Linked DNA regions of Daphnia pulex. The protein of the gene in region 2 purifies or fractionates together with the protein of the main gene of each other region. This does not show direct contact. Links are inferred from orthologs where the notes say so. Each region holds a gene or a part of one and is shown on either strand. Other genes may lie near its edges.

The links.
Region 1: the proteins of pre-mRNA-processing factor 19-like (region 2) and beta-catenin-like protein 1 purify together in Homo sapiens (affinity purification with mass spectrometry; 4 studies listed by BioGRID and IntAct, counting the BioPlex papers as one, with this or other methods). This does not show direct contact. The link is inferred for Daphnia pulex from reciprocal best matches to the Homo sapiens genes PRPF19 and CTNNBL1.
Region 3: the proteins of pre-mRNA-processing factor 19-like (region 2) and U1 small nuclear ribonucleoprotein 70 kDa-like fractionate together in Homo sapiens (co-fractionation; 3 studies listed by BioGRID, with this or other methods). This does not show direct contact. The link is inferred for Daphnia pulex from reciprocal best matches to the Homo sapiens genes PRPF19 and SNRNP70.
Region 4: the proteins of pre-mRNA-processing factor 19-like (region 2) and pre-mRNA-splicing factor SPF27-like purify together in Homo sapiens (co-immunoprecipitation; 10 studies listed by BioGRID and IntAct, counting the BioPlex papers as one, with this or other methods). This does not show direct contact. The link is inferred for Daphnia pulex from reciprocal best matches to the Homo sapiens genes PRPF19 and BCAS2.

What each region holds. Positions count from the first base shown.
Region 1 is NC_060022.1:2,351,930-2,356,166, forward strand, and holds beta-catenin-like protein 1, read right to left. Parts: upstream 2,801-4,237; 5' UTR 2,663-2,800; coding exon 2,633-2,662; intron 2,461-2,632; coding exon 2,156-2,460; intron 2,090-2,155; coding exon 1,758-2,089; intron 1,684-1,757; coding exon 1,460-1,683; intron 1,384-1,459; coding exon 1,235-1,383; intron 1,145-1,234; coding exon 963-1,144; intron 885-962; coding exon 525-884; intron 448-524; coding exon 359-447; 3' UTR 314-358; downstream 1-313. UniProt on the Homo sapiens protein: Component of the PRP19-CDC5L complex that forms an integral part of the spliceosome and is required for activating pre-mRNA splicing.
Region 2 is NC_060022.1:3,389,560-3,398,243, reverse strand, and holds pre-mRNA-processing factor 19-like, read right to left. Parts: upstream 2,795-8,684; 5' UTR 2,682-2,794; coding exon 2,663-2,681; intron 2,568-2,662; coding exon 2,418-2,567; intron 2,356-2,417; coding exon 2,214-2,355; intron 2,154-2,213; coding exon 2,012-2,153; intron 1,948-2,011; coding exon 1,762-1,947; intron 1,706-1,761; coding exon 1,520-1,705; intron 1,441-1,519; coding exon 1,104-1,440; intron 1,037-1,103; coding exon 687-1,036; 3' UTR 549-686; downstream 1-548. Other genes in the region: heterogeneous nuclear ribonucleoprotein 27C-like, read left to right, coding at 3,102-3,160, 3,293-3,500, 3,704-3,905, 4,481-4,563, 4,945-5,052, 5,160-5,349, 5,507-5,742, 5,817-5,886 and 1 more; uncharacterized protein LOC124195731, read left to right, coding at 6,737-6,894, 6,949-7,399; TRPL translocation defect protein 14-like, read right to left, coding at 7,906-7,979, 8,382-8,566, 8,632-8,684. UniProt on the Homo sapiens protein: Ubiquitin-protein ligase which is a core component of several complexes mainly involved pre-mRNA splicing and DNA repair. Required for pre-mRNA splicing as component of the spliceosome.
Region 3 is NC_060026.1:6,141,064-6,145,103, forward strand, and holds the start of U1 small nuclear ribonucleoprotein 70 kDa-like, read right to left. Parts: upstream 2,801-4,040; 5' UTR 2,509-2,800; coding exon 2,365-2,508; intron 1,895-2,364; coding exon 1,777-1,894; intron 1,708-1,776; coding exon 1,643-1,707; intron 1,505-1,642; coding exon 1,442-1,504; intron 1,381-1,441; coding exon 1,299-1,380; intron 366-1,298; coding exon 285-365; intron 82-284; coding exon 1-81. UniProt on the Homo sapiens protein: Component of the spliceosomal U1 snRNP, which is essential for recognition of the pre-mRNA 5' splice-site and the subsequent assembly of the spliceosome. SNRNP70 binds to the loop I region of U1-snRNA.
Region 4 is NC_060018.1:4,114,108-4,117,071, forward strand, and holds pre-mRNA-splicing factor SPF27-like, read right to left. Parts: upstream 1,774-2,964; 5' UTR 1,713-1,773; intron 1,643-1,712; 5' UTR 1,591-1,642; coding exon 1,486-1,590; intron 1,295-1,485; coding exon 1,202-1,294; intron 1,134-1,201; coding exon 961-1,133; intron 896-960; coding exon 785-895; intron 724-784; coding exon 558-723; 3' UTR 501-557; downstream 1-500. Other genes in the region: uncharacterized protein LOC124189006, read left to right, coding at 24-126, 191-269, 1,498-1,529, 2,453-2,630, 2,838-2,964. UniProt on the Homo sapiens protein: Required for pre-mRNA splicing as component of the activated spliceosome. Component of the PRP19-CDC5L complex that forms an integral part of the spliceosome and is required for activating pre-mRNA splicing.

The DNA.
Region 1 (4,237 bases), about 1.0 Mb from region 2:
TCGGCCCATGCACCTGGCCGAAGTTTTAGAGAACATTGTAAAACATAAAAAAATGTATGCTGGTTGCACAGTAATTGAGAAGCTCAGTTTTCGGAGGAATAACTGTCGAAAGTCATATTAACTGGAACGACCCCCATCAAGGAAAAAGGGCTATTAGTCTGCGTTTAGTCTCAGTCTCTTTATGGCAAATCCTGGAAAGTGCGTCTATAAAACGTACGTATAACCACGACCCCTCATTTCTCGAAATAGAAGATCAAACGGAGGTATGCGTGTCTGCTTCGAAAGAATGTTGCAACTTGCTCGATACAAAAAGTCTCGATTGGAAAATTTGTATTGTAGTTACGACTGCTGAGTGATCTTAAAACTTGTCCAAGAGCTGAAGGATGTGTTGTTTCTCTTCTTCTTTCGCTTCGCTTTCACTGCCATCGCCAAGATTTCCTGCGTACTCTGCGCGAAGGACCAAATAAATATTAGTTTAACTTGGACAAGGGCTTTACGATTGGACGAAAAGCGAAAATATTTACCTCTCATTATTTCACGAATTGTCTTGACTGTGCCTCCTCTCAAATTGAGCGTATGCAAAACGCGCTGCTTGATGGTTGCGGCTCCTGAGGCGCAAACTTCCATCATAATGTAGTCCACCAGCTGAAGCGTGAACAATCCACCTTCCAGACGTTTAAGGTACATTTCGTCCTCGTCCTCTTCGTCGTCGTTCCGCTGGAGTTGAGCGTCAATCACGCGTAATTTGTCGAAGTATTTGAAGTGCAACTCCATCAGTCGATCGGTTTTTTCGTGGTCGTTTTCTGTAAACTTCGTCAGAAGTCTGGTGCGCTGTGATCCTCGGCACGACTTTAGCATACTTGCAATCACCGAGACTATATGTTCTAAAAAAACGATTTACACGGGTCACGTTTTATAAATTTGTGATGCACATCAGTATTTGCACTATATTTTATATTTACCTTCATACTCTTCTGCTGACATCCCCTTTCTCTTCAGTTTATGCGGCGTTTTCATGAATAGCGGAAAAATAGTCCTTAAGCCGAGGATGTCCACAAATTTGGTGCAATTATCTTTACCGGCCTCACCACTAAGTGCGTGATTCAAAACCTTTAACGCGCCATTTCTGGACATTTTTTTCTCTCTGTAAAGAAAGTGGGGAAAAAAACGGGTCAGGCTTCAAGATCAACAATATGAATGGTAGCAAGCCGGATCGTGGGAATTTCAACAATACCGCAACATGAGGTTCATAAGTTGCAAGCCCTCTCCCTTCAGAAATCTGTCGCGGTTGGGAACGTGAATCAGACTGGAACAAACACAATCGAACAAATTCTCCATCATTTCTTGTTCTTCTCCTGTTTTGGGATCTTGCCGCTTGAAAATCTGCGAGAAAATAATTAAAAAAATGACTTGCACTTTTACACAAATGAAAAATGAATGAAGAAAAACGTTTTCTTACGGCTAACTGTTGAAGCAAAATATCAATTCCGTCAATTTCACCCAGAAGTTGCCGATTTTCTGGTGTGCCTTGAAGCAAAATGGACAATATTTCACTGCAATATAGTTTGTTGGCGTCGAATGGTAATTTAGCTCTTAGCCGCTTCATTATCCAACTCAGCAACCCCTGTTGGGCTGCTTGTTGACACACTTCAGGCCTAATTTCCGTTAAGTTTTCCACAATGGCTGAAAGAACAAATTATTTTGTGAACAAAAACTGGGTACTTATGAATTATAGAAACATAAATGATCGTCTATACCTAGTGTATTGTGAACTCCGTCAGATTCTTCTGTTTGAGCTTCGTTTAGTCTTTCCAGGTTGTGGACTAGGAGGGCACAGATTTGCTGGTCCAGGAGTGCATCAATTAGAATTGCAGCTTCATCTTGACTTTCATTCAGAGTATCAATGTCAGTCAATTCTTGAAGCAAATTGACCACAGCGACAGAAATGTCTGCATTGTCATGTGACAATAGACCTAGCAATGTTGGTATAAGCTTTTGTTCAACACCTACTGTGTATAGTTCAGGAGCTGTTGCAAGTGCATGCATCAGTTGAATTGCTTCATGCAATTCCAATTCTGATTCCATAAACCTAAAAGATAAAATAAAAACTATTATGAAGAATGATGACAAAACAAGCAGAGGATAGGAATCATACTTCTCTGGCGCATCTGGAAATTTAACACGTAGTTCTTGATTTTTCAGAACCCGCTTTTCAAAATTTAGAATCATTCTCTTTAGGGAGGCTTCATCAAGGCTTTCAGAACCTTCATCTTGCTCTACCAATTTGAGCAATTCTTCTTTTTCTGGAGTTTCAACAACTGGGGGAGCAATATATGTGGCTGTTGATCTTGGGTTTGGCTTTACATTACTGGTTGGAAACTGTTTAAGTTTCTTTCCGGGACGTTCAAACTCTGGCTCTTTATCATCATCTGCAACATCTCGTTTGGGGTTTTGTTTTGGCTGTAACAAGAAAGTAGTGATTAATCATAATAAAACAAATGAAAGCTTTCAAAATAATCCAACAAATGCCATTGCAATATATGCTCCATGCAATCCCATAACATCCAATGCTTCTGTTTCCCCTTAATGGACTTATAGCTAAAGAAGTGTTAATACAAACTGATTTACACACCTTAAAAGATAAAAGTTCACCGACATCCATTGCAGATATTCGATTAAATTAAATAATGAACCAGCATAAACAAAATTTGAAGAGATCTTTTGGAACTTTCAACTTTTTAAAAAACACGATGTGTCAAACATGAAAATAGAGTCATCTACCGTTAGGAATATCAGAATAAAAACGCCATCTGGCCATAAGTAATGAAACTCGATGGGTCGATTTTATGATTAGTGTTGTCTGCTTTCGTTTTGTTTGAAAGTTTCGAAAAAGAAAAAGAGACAAAGATTTTTGGGGGGAAACGTTACGTTGCTGCACGAAAAATAGCACTAAAAATTAAAAACAAAAATGTGATTGCCGTGTCAACTCTGGTCGCCGGTCGCGTGTCTTTATAGAATCGCTTAATGCACATACACATGCTGCTTTAGCAGGTAAAAAAACCCCATAAATTCAAATAGAATGACTGACTAGCATGTATCATGTAATAAGGGGCTTACATGATAAGTGTTGCTATTGCATGTGTGTTTGTGAGCACTATGTAACATTCTCATCTTTGTGCAGATTTGAGGCCAGAGCCAACCATCAAACCACAACATATGCAAGTTTTGCTTGTGCCAGTATTCACAGTGTCATCAGCAACAATCTTAGTATCATCACTCAGGTAATGATTTTCGTTACTTTTATTAACCTGTTAGATGTTTTAAATAGCCATCACTTGCAGAGTGTTACAGGGAATTCTTACATTCTCTTGTCCATTAATAAATAGGATTCATCTGCTGTCTTGTTTTCTATTTATCACTAATTGTTTCTGTAAATATTTTTCGTAACTCATATTTCATATTTGATTTTTATTTAGATAGGATTTATAGCATCCCGTTTGATTGGAGAGACTATCACCGATGTCGACCGAATTTCTTCCCCTTTCTTGGAATGTCCTCTTTACACCCATGTGAACGTGGACTTAAAGGCTTTAAGGTAGAAAAACATTTATCTAAATTCTTCCTTTTTGACTGTTACTTGGCGTTGATTATAAATTTTTGAGTACGATTATTCCTGAGCTATGCGGTTGACCGGAACGGTTTTCTCTTGCCGTTTTTGTTTACTCGGTCAGGGTTTGAAAAAGTGGTTGCTCATTTGTAGAACGGCTGCAGTTCAGGCCCTGTTTTGTACCTCACAACTTTGTCTATAGGTAAAAAGTCCAATTCAAAAATATTTCAACTTCAAACACTTAAAGCAAAGTGCAACTAGAAAAATTTTATGACGAAAGAGGGTCCTTGGTCGCCACACTGGCACTCGTTCTTAAAATATTCCCTCGGTTAACCCTCGTTTTCAATTAGAGAAATTTTTAAGAAAGTTTTTATAAATGGTGTTATACCAAGAGGAATAAGTTTTCCGGTGTCGTTTGTGGTTTTAGGGTAAAATTCATATTTAAATGGAATAATAATAGGAGGCTATTTAATATCACACCGTATTAAAAATGCCTGAAGGAATTGAAACTTGAAAAAGTAATGATTCTAAGCTACGAATGATATTTCTCGAGAAACCGACGACAAATCATCACATGAGCAATTAAAAGGGTTCATTTTTACGACGCACTTTCCAGCTGTGGAGAGTAAT
Region 2 (8,684 bases):
GAATCATCATAAAACAGTTCTGATTAATGTGTAAGCTAATTAAAGTAGTTGTGTCAACTCTTTAGGGAGAAAAAAAAATGCGTCAAATTAAAGAAGACAAATTTTTTGAAGGGCAGAAAATTTTATTCATTCAACAAAACCACGCTTCCAATTACAAAAGATGCAACAATGCAACTTGATAGAAGCGACGGTTGAAGGAACTGTTTTTGGGCGACTTACCTCGTACTTTATCTGGAAAAATCTTGATTCAGGATAGCAATCCAATATGAAGAATTTGAACTATGAAATTTGAAATTAACGTAGTATGATCTCACTATTCCTTGTTTACAAGAGTCGACCGGCATTTTAGGCCAAATACATAAACCCCTGTACGAAGGAGCGGCCGATGCATCGATTGCCTAAGCCGCCATTGGGATATGCTTCAAGAAAGCGAAAATGCCAAGCGAACTGCCACGCCACTAGTGACAAAATTTCGAAGCTTTTTGTTTTATTTAATGTATCGATAGTAACGCGGGAAACTTAACTATCGATATACACTCGTAGAATTGTTTTTGATGGGAAAAATGAAACGCGTGTATTTTTGTGAGGGCGAGAGTTCGATGCGGTTTGCACACCTTACAGCAAAAAAAAGGATAAGACGAAAAATGTTCATTTAAAAATCCCCTCTCAACATTGAATACAGTGAATCACTCGATGCCATAAATTTTCAGCGTACGATCCATACTCACAGACGCTATCGACTGCGCATGGTTGCCGAAACGGACTCCCATAGCCAATGCTGTATGGTCGTTAAAAGTCTTAAGAGTTTCCCATTGCTTGCAGAGATAAACACGCACGTCGGTACCAGCCACAGCAAGGTAGGTGCCGCTTTGATCGAAGCACAAGTCCTTAACTTCGTATCCTTCGTCGAGCTGAATTGTTTTAAAATTCTTCAATTTCCGTAAATCCCACAATTTGACGCAAGAGTCTTCTGCCGCTGTAGCCAAATAGTAACCATTTTCTGAAAATGACAAAGCCGCAATAGGACCGGAATGACCTGTAATTGTAAAAATGGTAATAGTAAAGCTAATGTTTATCACAAGATTATTTTAAAAGAGCCAAACCTGGAAAGTTGGCCACGTTAGATTGTTCTTTTAAATCCCAAATTTTGATCTGTGAATCTTGTGTTCCAGTGCCGAAAATGAGACCATCTGGATGGAACTGGGCTGTCGTAAGCGGATTTCCGTCTGTGTCGGCAACCTTTGTCAACAACCGCCCAACGCGAATGTCTGAAAATGCCCAGTGTTGATCCAGTGACGTCGACAAAACATATTCTCCGGTTGCGTGGAGCGACAAGCCTGTGACAGGGCCATCATGAGCACGGATGATGGCAGATTGTGAGGAGCCGGTTATATTCCAAACACGAATCGTCGCATCAGGAGATGCTGTTATCGCGACTTCCTATAACAGATTCAAGGGGTATATTAGTATCATATAACAAAGTAAATCAAGAGAAAATTAAAAGAAAACATGAAATTACCTCTTCTGGATGATAAAGCACCTTGGTAACTTTTTTTGTATGTCCCTTGAGAACAGCAACAACCTGCTCAGTGTCCTTGTTAAAAACTGTAGCGCATCGATCGTTACCTCCAGTCAAAATATGAGAAGTATCGGCGGCGTGAACGTCCATGGTCAAAATTCCGGGCATACTTGCACTGTGCAAAGCCTATATGTAATCAATCCATGAAGATGGGATAACATTTCAAAATTATATGTCATTACCGGATGAGATGCCAAAGTTTTATATCCCTTCAAAGCTTCTGCTGTAGCTAAGCCTTCGGGCATGGTTTTGCCTCTACGTTTTCGTTCTTGAGTAAGAACAGTGGCTTTATCTTGTAATTGTGATATGATTTCCGGAGTTAATCCAGCTGCCTCGATCGGTTGTGCTGCCACACCACCCGCTTCAGCCTTACATCAAATCAGTAAATTTATCATAAATAACATACAAATAAATATCATAATGCTTTCTTACTGAGGCAGCAACAGATGGTGTAGATACAGCAGCATAGCCAGTCTGGGGCTTAAGAGTTGCAAGTGCTTCCCGTGCTGTAGACACTTCCTTGTGGAGGCGTGCAATAACACGACAAGCAGCATCATGTTGGTAGAGAGCATGACTACAAATAGAAAGAGAATGTTTGCACAATAATTCCATGTGTAATTAAGTTGGTCAATACCTCAATTCTTGTCGAGCAGTTTGTAATTGTTGCCTCAAAGTAAAGGAATTTAACATGACAGCATCCCATTCATCTTGTAAAGACTTAAGCACGGCGGGAATGCTTGTTGCAGATGGCACTTTAGGCTTAACAATTGGGGGGGCTAGAAACAAAATTTCAATTACATGTAAATTCATTGTGGAACTTTGATAAAAAATTTCTTACTTTTGATTTCAATAAGTTGATCTACAGTTATTTCTTTCCCATTGATGGGATCTACCCCGTTATCAGCAATGTACTTTTCAATCAGCCGACGTTCAAACACAGATCCTGACACCGGTGAGACCACAGGATGTTCGGGAACTTCGTTCGACACTATATAAGCAAGAGATATAAGACATTAAATATCAAATTTCTCAGAAGAATGGATTGGTTTTAAATTGATATTTATAATGAAAATGTAATATTACGAGAACAACAGAGGGCCATGATGAAGCGTGTAACCTTTTTTTATATACTTTTCACAAAAATGTGCGACAAGCCAAGATGCATATGTTCGCTTCGCTTAGGGCTAAACAGTTGCTAGACTACACTATTCAATAAAGCGCTTCATTCCTCAGTGCGAGTTTTCTTTTCTTTTCAAAATCCAATCATTTTTTTAAGACTCAGAAATTTTTTTATTGGAATGTGTAAAAGAAACAGCATAGTTTTTTATAAGTAATAATTTCATAATTTAAGTTTCAAGTTTTCAACTAGAAAAAGTGTCCAGGCAACGGTGCAAACTGACTGAAATGCCGGGCCAGCCATTTCCCCCATTTCTCAACTGAAGAAGCCAACCCAAGCGCAGTGCGAACACTCCTCGAAAATTTGAAAGATTCGTTTACTGTTATATTCAATTTAAACTGAACAATGGCCTCTCAACAAAAATTCCCTGGAAAAGAAGGTGGTGATAATTCGAATGAACAAGGGTAAGAAATTTTTTCCATTTATAATATGACATGTGAAGTTCATGGGAGAATGTAAATCCATGACGCCGTACACTAAGCTTTTCATGATTTGCGTCCATTTACTATTTTTTGGTACGAATCTTGTTTTTTTAGTAAAATGTTCATCGGAGGTTTAAGCTGGGAAACGACGCGCGATAATTTGCTTCGATATTTCAGTCAGTATGGTGAAGTTGTTGACTGTGTGGTAATGAAGAACCCAGAAACTGGTAGATCGAGAGGGTTTGGGTTCATTACATTTGCTGATCCTAACAATGTTGGTTTAGTACTACAAAACACACCCCATATACTCGATAATCGCACAGTAAGTTTTTATATTTTCTTCATACTCTTATTTGCACTACCTGAGCGGTGATAGAATGTTTAACATAATTTTATCTCCTTTCGCGGTATTGCTACATAGAAGTGGAAGGAATTGAAGTTTATATCTCAACTTGAGATATATATTTGATTTCTTTCTACATTTTTGGTTGTTTTTTATGATCTCATATTTTTATGTTTATGCAGATTGACCCCAAACCTTGTAATCCACGTGCCGAAATGGTACGCGCTCCTCGCCGGAGTATGGGTACAGGAAATGGTTACAAAGTATTTTTAGGTGGGCTTCCATCAAACTTGACAGAAACAGATCTTCGTAACTTCTTCTCGCAGTACGGAAAGGTCTCTGAAGTCGTTATCATGTACGACCAAGAAAAGAAAAAATCTCGAGGTGAGTCACTTTCCTCAATTAGTGGGTATTAAAGTTAATTAAAACAGCGTAAATAAACTATGAACGTCCTTACATAACGTATGACGCAAGTGTAAGTGGTTATATTCCGAAGATTCGATGGATTCCTTTTTTGATAACTTTGCTAACTTTAATAGTGTGGTTATTTTATTCCTATAGGTAAGCAAATGGCTAAGTTCCTATCCACGTTTACTTCTACTGCTCATGTGAAAGAGTTTCCGCGAATTACAGTAGATAATATGCCATTAAGGAACTTGGGAGGGTGGATTTACAAGTTTTACATCTGACTAAATATTGGCATACCCATTGGGTTGAGTCAATATTTCTTTCATAATCACAACTCTAGTTTTTAACGATGTATTAGATTTATTTCTCTTCAAGTATTAGAATCCGGTATCAATCTCATCAGATCTACAGTCAAAAGTTATGGTTGAAAAATAATTTAGTCAGGCCTGTCCCAAGATTTCTTCTAATGATTATTAATGAGATCAAAGAAAGATGTAAAGAAAAGTGGTATAAAAAAAGTGTAATAAGCAATTTGGAAAACCTTGGGACAGGCTTTGGCTTTTTGACCTTTGAATCGGAGGAGTCGGTGGATCGCTGCACTGGTGAACACTATGTTTCAATCAATGGAAAGCAGGTATTCTATCATCAAAACAACAACCAATGTCCCTCTCCCTTACTCTTTGTGAAAAACGCAATCGGAAGTATGAATAATCAGGGCTCACCATTGTTTAAACCTCGCCGACACTTGATCTTATATATTTTTAAAGTTTATTTAGAAAATGTATCTAACCGTCGAGTTAAGCTGGTCTTTGTACCAATCTATTGGTCTTCTAAATAGTAATTGTAATTAACTCATAGAAAACAATAGATAATCTTATCAATAATGTAACAAGTTAAGGTCGGTGGTGAGCTCTCTTTATTGTTTTAAAAAAATATGAATGCATAATAATTCGTTCTAATGTTAGAATTAACATTAGTCATCAAACAAGGAATAAAGATTTCTTTTGGACCATAGGTTGAAATCAAGAAAGCAGAGCCCCGTGATACTCGAGGATCATCTGGTGGAATGAGACGTGGAGGACACAATGGTGGATGGGAAGGTCCGGGAATGGGAATGCATGGGGTAAGTCACTAAGCTTTCTTGCTCAAACTTAAGTTACAAACAGATTTTAAATAATCGATTTGTGTTTTTCTTTTTTCTTTTTTTTTTTTTGCGTTTTTGCCATTTAGGGTATGGGTCCTATGGGTGGCCCAATGGGTGGACCGATGGGCCCTCCCATGGGTGGTGGTTATCAAGGATGGGGTGGACCTGCCAATCAAGGTGGATATGGATATGGACCCCAAGGTGGATATCAAGGATGGGGCCCACAAGGGCAGTGGGGAGGATATGGAGGAGGACCAGGAGCTAATTATGGCTATGGTAATAAAGTGTATGCTGATAAAGTGATTGTTTCTTCTCCAGGATATATTTCGAAGATAAATTGGCTGAGATTTTCTAAATAGAAGTTTTTCCATGAATCACATTGTCTTTGATACCGCGTAGATGAATGAAAATAAGAACGTGTTAAACTATATAGGCCCTCAAGGTGGACCTCAACAAGGTGGATACAACAACTGGAATTGGGGAGGACCGGGCCCACAAGGAGGTGGACCTGGTGGCCCAGGTCCCAACGGCGATATGTATGGTAGAGGTCCTAACCCAACTAATGGTGGTCCTCCGGGCGCAGCTGCCCCTACTGGACCTGGAGTTCCTGGAGTAAAAGCTGAACCTGCTCAGTACGGTGCTGGATACGGAACTAATGGCTATGGAACAGTAAGTTAATTGTGCGAGTCAAATGTTACATTTTTTTAGGAATTCAATCGTTTTTTTTTTTATTATTATCCAAGGACGTTAACCAAGGATACAGAGGAGGATACGCCCAAGAAGCTAACGCTCAAGGATATGGAGGTGGACAAGGTGATTGTTAATTTAGTTTTTACAAAAAAGGATCTTTATGATAATTATGGTTATTTTTTTAGGCTATGGAAATCCAGAAAGAGTCCCACCACCTGGCGTTGCACCTGCCGGTAATGGTCTTGGTGTTCCTGGAGCAGGAGCCGGAGCTGCTGGCCCTGGAGGACCGGGTCCTCAACGAGGAGGTGGTCACCACCACCAGCCGTCGCAATCTCAATACCACCCATATCGCCGAGGAGGCGTTTGAGAAAATCATCAGTGTTTTTTTTTTGTGTGTTTTAAGTTGCACATTGCTTAGCCCTATGGCTGGACAAACATTTAAATGATGGCCAATCTGTCGTGCATTCGGTGTGTTCTTGTCTGTATCGTTTCGACGTTTCTCTTTGAATCCCGCCCTAACATTACGTTCTGAACCTGAGCTATTCATGACTTTTCGATGCGTTCGAATAAAACTGTAGTTAATTAGTTCTTAAATCCTTGTGTGCAAGTTTCTTTAAAAAAATCCGAGATAGTATGCACTTTCAAACTTCCGATTACACGTTGATTGAATTGCAATTTTGCTGGTACTGATCTATACTAATAACAATCACGATTTACACTTTGATATTTAATAAACTACTGATCACTTATCTTTGAAAAAAAAAACCTGTCTCTAAACTTTTTCAACAGAGGGCTGGGTAACCCTATGACTTCTCTTGTGTTTTGGGTAATGTCGTCTGCAACAATGTACAGTACACAACACAACTACACATTGTTCTGCAAGTCAGTTAAGAGATCTACTAAAATTTTAAATAATTCACCATTTCTTTAGTTTAAATTAAGCACTCGTTAAGCTTCTACGATAAAAAATTAGATGACTTCGTTAAATTTGTTGGTGGGTTATGGATCGGATAGCTCGGAAAGTTCTGGAACGGAAACAAAAGAATCAACACAAACAGAACTTGCTGAAGATCCTGTGAAATCAAAAATCAAAAATAATTTTTTTCAGGTTTTTGATGATAGTAGTAGTGGGTATGACAAATTTCTCTATGAATTTTTTAAATTTCTAAATATTTCATTTTTTAGTGAAGAAAACGATCAAGCAGATAACTTTTCGTTGCAAGATGAACATTTAAAGAACTTGAAAAACCCTTTTCGCAGTTCAGAGACTTCAGTGTCAGGAAAATCTGTGTTTGCAAATCCATACAAAGAAGCAGAGGAAGCAGAAAAGGGCACACTTGAAAAGCATGTAAAATTCACCCCCAAACTTGAAGACATCAAAGAAATCAATGGGAGAAAAATTTGCTGGAACTATAGGAAAGGGAGGTGCAGATTTGGGTCAAACTGTGTCTTTGCTCATGACTCTGAGCTCTTGCAGAAGAAACAAAATCAAGAAATAAATCAGCAAAGTGTAAGCAGTTCTGATTATGATCAGGACTCTGTCATTACATCTCAAACCACTTCTCATGCAACAAAAAGACCAATTTCTGCTACCAGTCAAAGTTGTTACACTGCAAAAAAAGGTAAAGGGGCATAATCTGCACCATTGAACTTAAATTCAACTTGTAAATGTTAAAATGATACACTTGAAATTTCCAGAATTTGTATTACTGCAAGAATACAATATTGTATTTGTCTAAGAAAATGAAGGTTATTTTAATACTACATGGGATATAATGCACTTGTAAAGGGTAAATGAAGAAATTGTAACACGGTCGCTTAAGTATTGACGGCCAAATGCTACAGTTTATCGGCGATCATCATTTAGTAGACTAGCTAATAACTTTAACACGAGCGTATTGCAACTTTTGTAGTTATTACAAAGCAGCAGTAAGAAAATCGTAGTTATCATGAGTCAGGTGTTCCCAGAAAATTTTTCTATTCTTGCTTTCTTTATTTCTTCTTTTACCTTTGTATGTGGGGGGGGGGGGGAGTTGATATAGTGAGAGTAGAATAACTTGAATAAGAACTGAGACTCACAGGAATCAGATTTAATAGTCGGTTACTTAACGTGCCCTTGACCATATGTGCTGAGAATCGCTACTAAACTCCATTAACGTGTGGTCCTATCCAGCCATTGGTTCGAGGGCTTCCAGTCAGGTCATCTTCGTCGTCGGCTGCAGATTTTTGATATTCAGATACAAAAAAAAATTATTAGTCAAATTCTACGAGACTTAAACTTAAAATAAAAGTAGAAAATAAGGAACAAATACTAGGATACGAAAAAATTGTGATTTGCTAAATAAATTCTGTGGTGAAAATTCTCCTATGATACACACGCATGCATCCGACTCGATCATTAGCCATCAAGCTCGGTGTTCCTTACCTCAGCCCAATTCCTCGTGCAATTCAGCTGAGTCAATAATTTAAAATATGGATCCTTTAATATGTAACTATAACTTACACAATATTTCCCCACAATGTATGTGAACTCCCCTGTGAACGGTACAAACCCTCCCAGGATTTCCACAACACACACAAGAAAAATACCAAATATTTGTTATCGGATATTGCGTTACCTGCAAGTTTGAAGCAGAATTTTTTATTATTTAACCATTCCTCTTTAAGAGAAAGGTTGTACATAGAGTGGGTCGGATCGCCCGTCACGTTATCGACAATGTCAAGGAAATCGGGCAATTTATTAGCTTGGAATTCCTCCAACGATTGCGTCGTATACGTTTCCAACAACACTAGGCCGTGGCATCTATGAAAAGCGTTTTTGGTATAGTGAAGTGTTTCTGTTGGAAAAAATCCAATTGCTAAGTATACCTCGGATGGCAAGGCTCTTTGTAAATATCCAGTTGGAAATACTGGTTGTGATA
Region 3 (4,040 bases), on a different chromosome or scaffold from region 2:
GTCCTGAATGTTTTACGTTTACATCTGGTCCTCCACGACGAGTCCCACCCAAGCCTCCACCCAAACGGCGAGGAAGCCAACCTGGAATGCAATAGTTTAGGTACTTAGAAACCATGGCGGCATGATTATAATATCTAACAAGAAGAAAAAAATTTTGTGCACTTATTTACACTGATTAATCAAAATAAAAAACCTATGGATTTTCAAAACAAATTTTAAAATTTGCCTTCGAAAAAAAGGGCAGCAAACTATAAACATAAAACTTATTTAATTAAAATAATTACCTTTGACAGTCCTTGCCCTTTCTACGTCTACAAGAACTCTGCGGCCGTCTATTTTCTTTCCGTCGGCGTGTTTGTACGCAGCTGGTATTTTAAAACAACAAACCAGTATTTCGGCGCCGTCGGCAAAACGAACAAATCGTAAATACGGGTAGTACAGCAGGCAGAGAAGACGAAAAATTCAGCGTGTATAACATGGAGAAGGAGAGTTCCAACAATTAGTATCACAAACCTAATATCACCTACCGAAGGATCTCCATTACCTACCCCTCCCAGCAATTTCGAAAAATATTTACCGTGAATTAACAAATAACGAAAAATGCAATGATTTCAAGTATGACCAATCATAACACTTGGAAAATGCATAAAAAACCAACGCCACGGCCGTTTACCAGATTACGGCTATGTTCACGTAACATCCAGATCTATTAATAAGCGATCAAATGTTGCCAATCACAGAAGCAGATCCATTCCCTCTTCAAGCTGTCCCCATCTTTACCTGTGAATCCTCTTAACGCGCAGCAGCACTCGAAGAATCTGATCGAATTGAAATGGCCCTAATTTTTAGTGGCGCTAGAAAGCCTAGTAACCGACTTACCAGGATACTTACTACCATCAAGGGGAAGGGAGGGTGAAAACGAAAAGATACTTTCTTTGAAGCTAATTTGAACCTGCAGTCGATTTCAAAGGGATTTTGGTTTAACTTTAACCAAACGAAACCTTACCAATTGACCATACAAACCTAGCATCAAGAGACAAAAAGCGACAAAGGCCACATGACCGTCCAAATAGTCGGAGGCCGCGACTGTGACCGGAAACGACAAAATGAAATATAGGAAAACTTTAAGGTACAAATCAATCACAGATTTTCCCCACCTCACCCCCACCCCTTTCATCATCATACAAATTGGTGGTGCGACGATTAATTGAACAGTGAAAGCTATCGCAGGCCTTACTAATTAGCCCACTACCCTCAGTTACCACACGACTTAGGTATAATAGAAAAGAAATACTTACAATGCATGTCTCGCTCATGTTCATACTCGATGAATGCATAACCGCGTGGCTTACTAGTCCTCTTGTCATGCACCAACACAATCTGTAACATTAAAAAGCGTGGTAAGCGTGTGATTAAATTTCACATGGTGCTTGTAAGTTACCTTCCGAACAACTCCGTACACTTCAAACTCCCTGCGCAATTTAGATTCCGAAGTATCAAAATTCTGAGAGAAAATGTTTCAAGAATTATCGTTTCATTCATGCGGATTACTAGTTATAACTTAGCACTCATTATTCATTAAGCTCGAAATAAAATAAAAGTGATGAGAAAAAAAAATTATAGTATGAGTATTGACACTTACAATGCGAGCAACGAACAGCGTTTTGAAGGGGTCCATGGTAGAAACACCATTACTGTGTGGATCCCCTATGAATGCCAGAGAAAAGGGAAATTGATAAAAGAAATTGTAGAAACACACCAAAAATTAGAACTTACACATTGCAATTTCCTGTTCAAGTTTATAGGCAACTTGTTCTGCCTTTTCGCGACGTTTTCTTTCGCGCCGTTCATCCCGTGTTTCTGCTCGCGTAGGAGGGGGTGTATCTTTAGGATCCTGTTAAGAATATAAAATGATATTAAAAATTTCGTTATGTTTGAAAGCTCAGTACTTAGTTCATCAGAATGCTTCTAGTATGCAATGTTTCGTTCCACATCTCTCATTTAAAACTTTGTGAAACAATGACTACTTTACACCCCTCAGACATATGCTAACATTAAATTGTCAACCTGATAAAAGGCTCAGCTGGAAACACTGTGCTTCCAGAAAATTAAGACACTTTCACAACATTTTCACAAAATATTTTGCATCTCACATGTCACACATGAAAACTTGGGATTCTCATCGACACATCTAGAGGAGAATGAATAAATGAACCAAAACTGTTCCATAAATTGGGATTGGGACCCGTGCATTAGTAAATTAAGACATACATTACTTCCCAAATCAATCAAATTAGATCAAATTGCAATACTTACCTTGACTACTATATCAATTTTTAATTTTTAATGGAATCAAATACTAACCTCAAACAGATTTGTATACTGCGCTATACCAATGTATGGCGTTCTTTTTTTTTCATGAGTCAATTTATCAGGTGGTGGTAAAAATGGAGGGGGATCGCGTGGCGCAAAAAGAGCCAAAAGATTTGGAGGCAAAAACTGCGTCATTTCACAAATATTTCAATGAGCATGGACCTTTCAAAAAGCTTCTCGGTCGAGCGTCTTAGCTGTCGGCCATTAGTCCATTACTGTCTATCTATTGCTCGGCAGGGCTGCCACTTTGGTCTTTGGTGGGATTTTCCCACTTTTGAAATTTTCAAGTTTTTAAAATTGAAAATACCCGTTTTAAAAAACGGGTATTGTGGGATGAGATGGGATTGAGATTTTAGGAAAAACAGCGGGATTTTGTAATTTCTAATTTATCTGACCAATTTCATAAATTTTTTTTGAGCCGTAAATAGGCTAGCAACAAAATATATATTTGGCAACTAGAAATAAAACTAAATTTAAAAAAGCAGACGAATCAATACCAGATCAGAATCAGACATATATAAAAGTAAATAGTCACTACAGTCAAAAACAGCGTTTTGGCCCCAACCAATTTGTATCAGTTTTTACTTTTTATATTGTTTTAAATATTATAATCGTAATACTAGACCCCCGGCCCTTTAGTTTGCTTGTTGCTTATTGCTTATTGGATTTTAATGGGTTTGGCGCTGATATTTTTCATTAAATTTCTTGAAAGTGGAGTCTAGTAAGTAGGTAGTAGGTAACTTATAACATTTAAATTAATGCTCTTTAAGGAAAAAAAACTATAAATACTACATAAAAATAGACATAATTAGGTTTCAAATGAGACTAAGGGGGAATTTCTACGTGCATTTTTGACAAGGTTTAATATATGGTAAACATATTTTATACGGTAAGATTTATTTCATTACTGCATCTCAAAAGATTCAAGTTGTACAGCATCTTTCAATTACATCCAAGTCCCAAATATTGGTAAATAAATAAATTAGTTCCTTTCTTTCTTACAAAGCCTTTTCGGCCTTTTCTTAAATACATTGCTGATGCGGTTAAGTTCGGTTAATGTTATTGTGGTTTTCAAAAATCAGCTTGGATTTCAACTTCTACTTGCAGACAAACCAAAACAAAGTAAAAAAAAACTGTTCGATATTATTTGGCCTCTTGATGGCGTAGAATTCAATTATTGAATTAATTGAAATTAATGGTTTCTTAGGATTAGGAATGTCTTTAATCTTGATGTATTTATCGTCTGAAAGTTGAGACGGTGTCTCTAGCTCTCTACTTTAAGACCATAACAAAATTTTACTTTAGTTAGCTAAATTTTTTGCGCCAAAAAACTCATACTGTTTCGTCCTTCATGCTTAACTCAGCTTAAGGATAGGCCTTTTTATCGTTAGCACATGCAAAAAAATAAACAAACAAAACGCGGCAAAGTCTGATACACACGACATGATTCTGAATCGAGTTTCCATCATCACGTGACCGCAAGCACTCCGCCGGTCCGCCCACAAAAATAAACCCAAAAATGGAACCATACAATCTGTGAACATGTTTCCATAGTTCTACTAAGGCAGATTGCCCGAGATACCTAGATGGGAAAACCTCCTAAACTGAATAATTTGGATATATTATCCACAATTCCGCTACACCAAAACGCCAGTTGCTAATACATG
Region 4 (2,964 bases), on a different chromosome or scaffold from region 2:
AATATCCGTAAACTAATTTTCAGGACGTTGGTCCAACTTCTTGAGAGGACTAAGAAAAAGTACCAATCTCGATTAAAAAGACTAGAGCAGCAAATGGTCAACATGTCGGAAAGACATGCAATGCAGGTATATAGAGAAAAATTACGAGTTATCAAGTGTGACCGACATAAAAATGTCATGTGATTATCAGGTTCGCGTCCTAAAGCAACGAGTTATGGTGCTGGAAGATGAGTCTTCCGTCCGCCCTTTACCTTTAAGTTCAGCCCCAAGTGAGACTTCCCTATGATCTTACCCTTTTTTTTACCCTTCTCTGAATTACGCTTTGCTGTACTCATACGCTTCTTCTCGTTTTCAATTGTGTGATATATAAAATCAGAACGTGCTACTTACCATTTATAAGACAAGCTAATCTGAAAGTGCATGACTTTATACTATTTTTTTGTTTTGTTCCCTTACAACCAAATCTTTTTGGTTGTCACTTACTGAAAATCTCGGATGAATCAATTTCCTGTTGCAGTGTATTATCCGAATTCGATAAAGTAGGTTTACATTGAATTTCATTCATTAAGTGAAGCTAACTGTCTCTCAATTTCAGCACACGCGAGTTCGATTTCGTAGTTTTTAGTGATCAAACCAAACCAAGTGGCTTCCAAATGTTTCATTTTGTCTCCAACCTCTGTCTGATCTTTTTTTCTAGCCCAATTGACATCTTGGATTTGTTTCCTGTAAAGAAAAATATAATAGTGTATTTTGCAATATGGTGTCTACTTTACTGAAATCATACTTAAATTCCTGAAGATGCTTCTGAGATTGTTGGATCATCTGGGACAATACAGTGTTATAAATTCTCCATGATTCACAACCATACTCTGACATTAATTCCAAGTTCAAAATCCTGTTTTTTAATTGAAATTTTTTTAAATTTATGGTTGCTGTAAAATTTTTTTTTAGAAAACAAACCTTGTTGTTTGATGTTCTAATTGAGCCATTGAATTATCAACACACTCTATCCATGCTTGAAGATCATTTAGACGACCAGCAGATGGGGGTGGGAGTTCATATCGTTTCATGCTCAAAACATCCATTGGTTTCTTTTGAGACAGTCGCTCAAATTCAGTCTTCATCAAAGGAGTCTATGAACATGATAATTTCCATAATTATTACACACTCCTATCATTACTTCCATGCAGACAGTTCTTACTTCAAATGCTGACAGCTCAAGTGGAGGAAGATGTTCTAGGTAGTTTTTGGTTGGTCTATATCTTCGTGTCTCTTCATCAACCAATGCAAGTGCCTGATAGAAAGAAATTACTCTCATTAAACAACTATTGGACAAGAGCGAGAGTTCTCAGCAACATACAGTACTATGGTCTAGTACAATAATGTATTGATGTTAGAGATGACTAGGCTAACACAAGAATCTCCAAGCCTCAATTCGAAGCGATTCAAATATTTCAAAGTTTGCAATGTATAAGTTTTGCTTACCGCTTCTCGTAGAGTTGGATCTCCATATTCTTGGTCAACGTATGGTAAATCGTCAACCAAAATCCTTTCGTTCGGCGTGGAAATGTTTGTTGACGGAATCGGCATTTTGTGATTTGTGTCAAACTGTCTGTTGTCAGCAAGATTGTCAGATTTTCTGCTGGATTAATAAATATGAGCCACAGTTTTAGTAATTGATTTTCATTATGTCTAATTATTCATAAACTTACTTTTTGATAATGAATAAAGATCATTAACTTCCTTTAAATGAATAAAATATGAAAATAAATTGGTATATTAAATTTTATTCAATAATATTTTGGACACCGTTGCATTGTGAAACAAATAAAACAATATTAAAAATTTTATAACTAATCACTCCATTAAAATGTTTGAAATCATCAATTGAAACTCCATAATTTTTGTTATTAAACAGTGGATCAGTTCAGTGAATAATCTGTAATTTTTCAAGTAAATAATCAAGTAAAAAACGGAACGTAGAGGGCGGCAATTCTCAAAGTATGCCGGCAACATTGTAGACTTCCTCTTTGTCGCCATTACTGTGGGTCTCTTTCATTCGCCTTTTTACCCGGTCAGGACTATCTACCAAGATGGTAAGCATGAGGTTCTCCAAACATTTTACTAGTTTTTACATACATTAATTTACGAATAGTAAGTAAAAAGGTTAACGGGAGAAACGTGTTTTAAGAAAATTCTTGCGTGCGTATATTTTTCTAAGCCATTTTCTTGTTAATCTATGGCGAAAGTTTGGGAGTAAAATGTTACCCACAGCGTGGTTTCGTCCTCGTGTCAAATGGGCTCTTGCTGTTTTTCTATGTTAATTCAACGTCGTTCTTGGTTTATTGTTATGTTTTGGTTAATTGGTACATCTAGTTCAAAGTTTGTGTAAATTCAAGTGTTGTCTCTTGAAAATCTTAAATCTAATTTGTTTATCCATTTTGTTTTACAGAGTAAGGTGGTCGCGAGGCCGTTGATTACCGTTTACAATGAGAAGGCTGAGGCCTCTGGAACCAGCATCCAGCTCCCTGCAATCTTCAGGGCTCCCATTAGGCCAGACATTGTCAGCTTTGTTCAACAACAAATGTCAATGAATCGTCGTCACCCTTATTGTGTCAGCGAGAAAGCAGGTAACTTGTATGCCAATTATATGGCACACAGCATTGAAATGTAGGAGTAATTGTACGTCAGACTCTTCTTGTGCAGTGTGCAACACTAAAGCGAGTCCCTGAGGCCTTTCTCGCTTTGTTTTCTTAAAGTGAGGGGTTGGGCAACCGGACAAACTTCATACACACATGTAATGGTGTGATTGTTAATCTTCTTCTTTCCTATTACAGGTCATCAGACAAGTGCTGAATCATGGGGTACTGGTCGTGCTGTGGCTCGTATTCCCCGTGTCCGAGGAGGTGGTACCCATCGCTCCGGTCAGGGTGCCTATGGTAACATGTGTCGTGGTGGACGTAT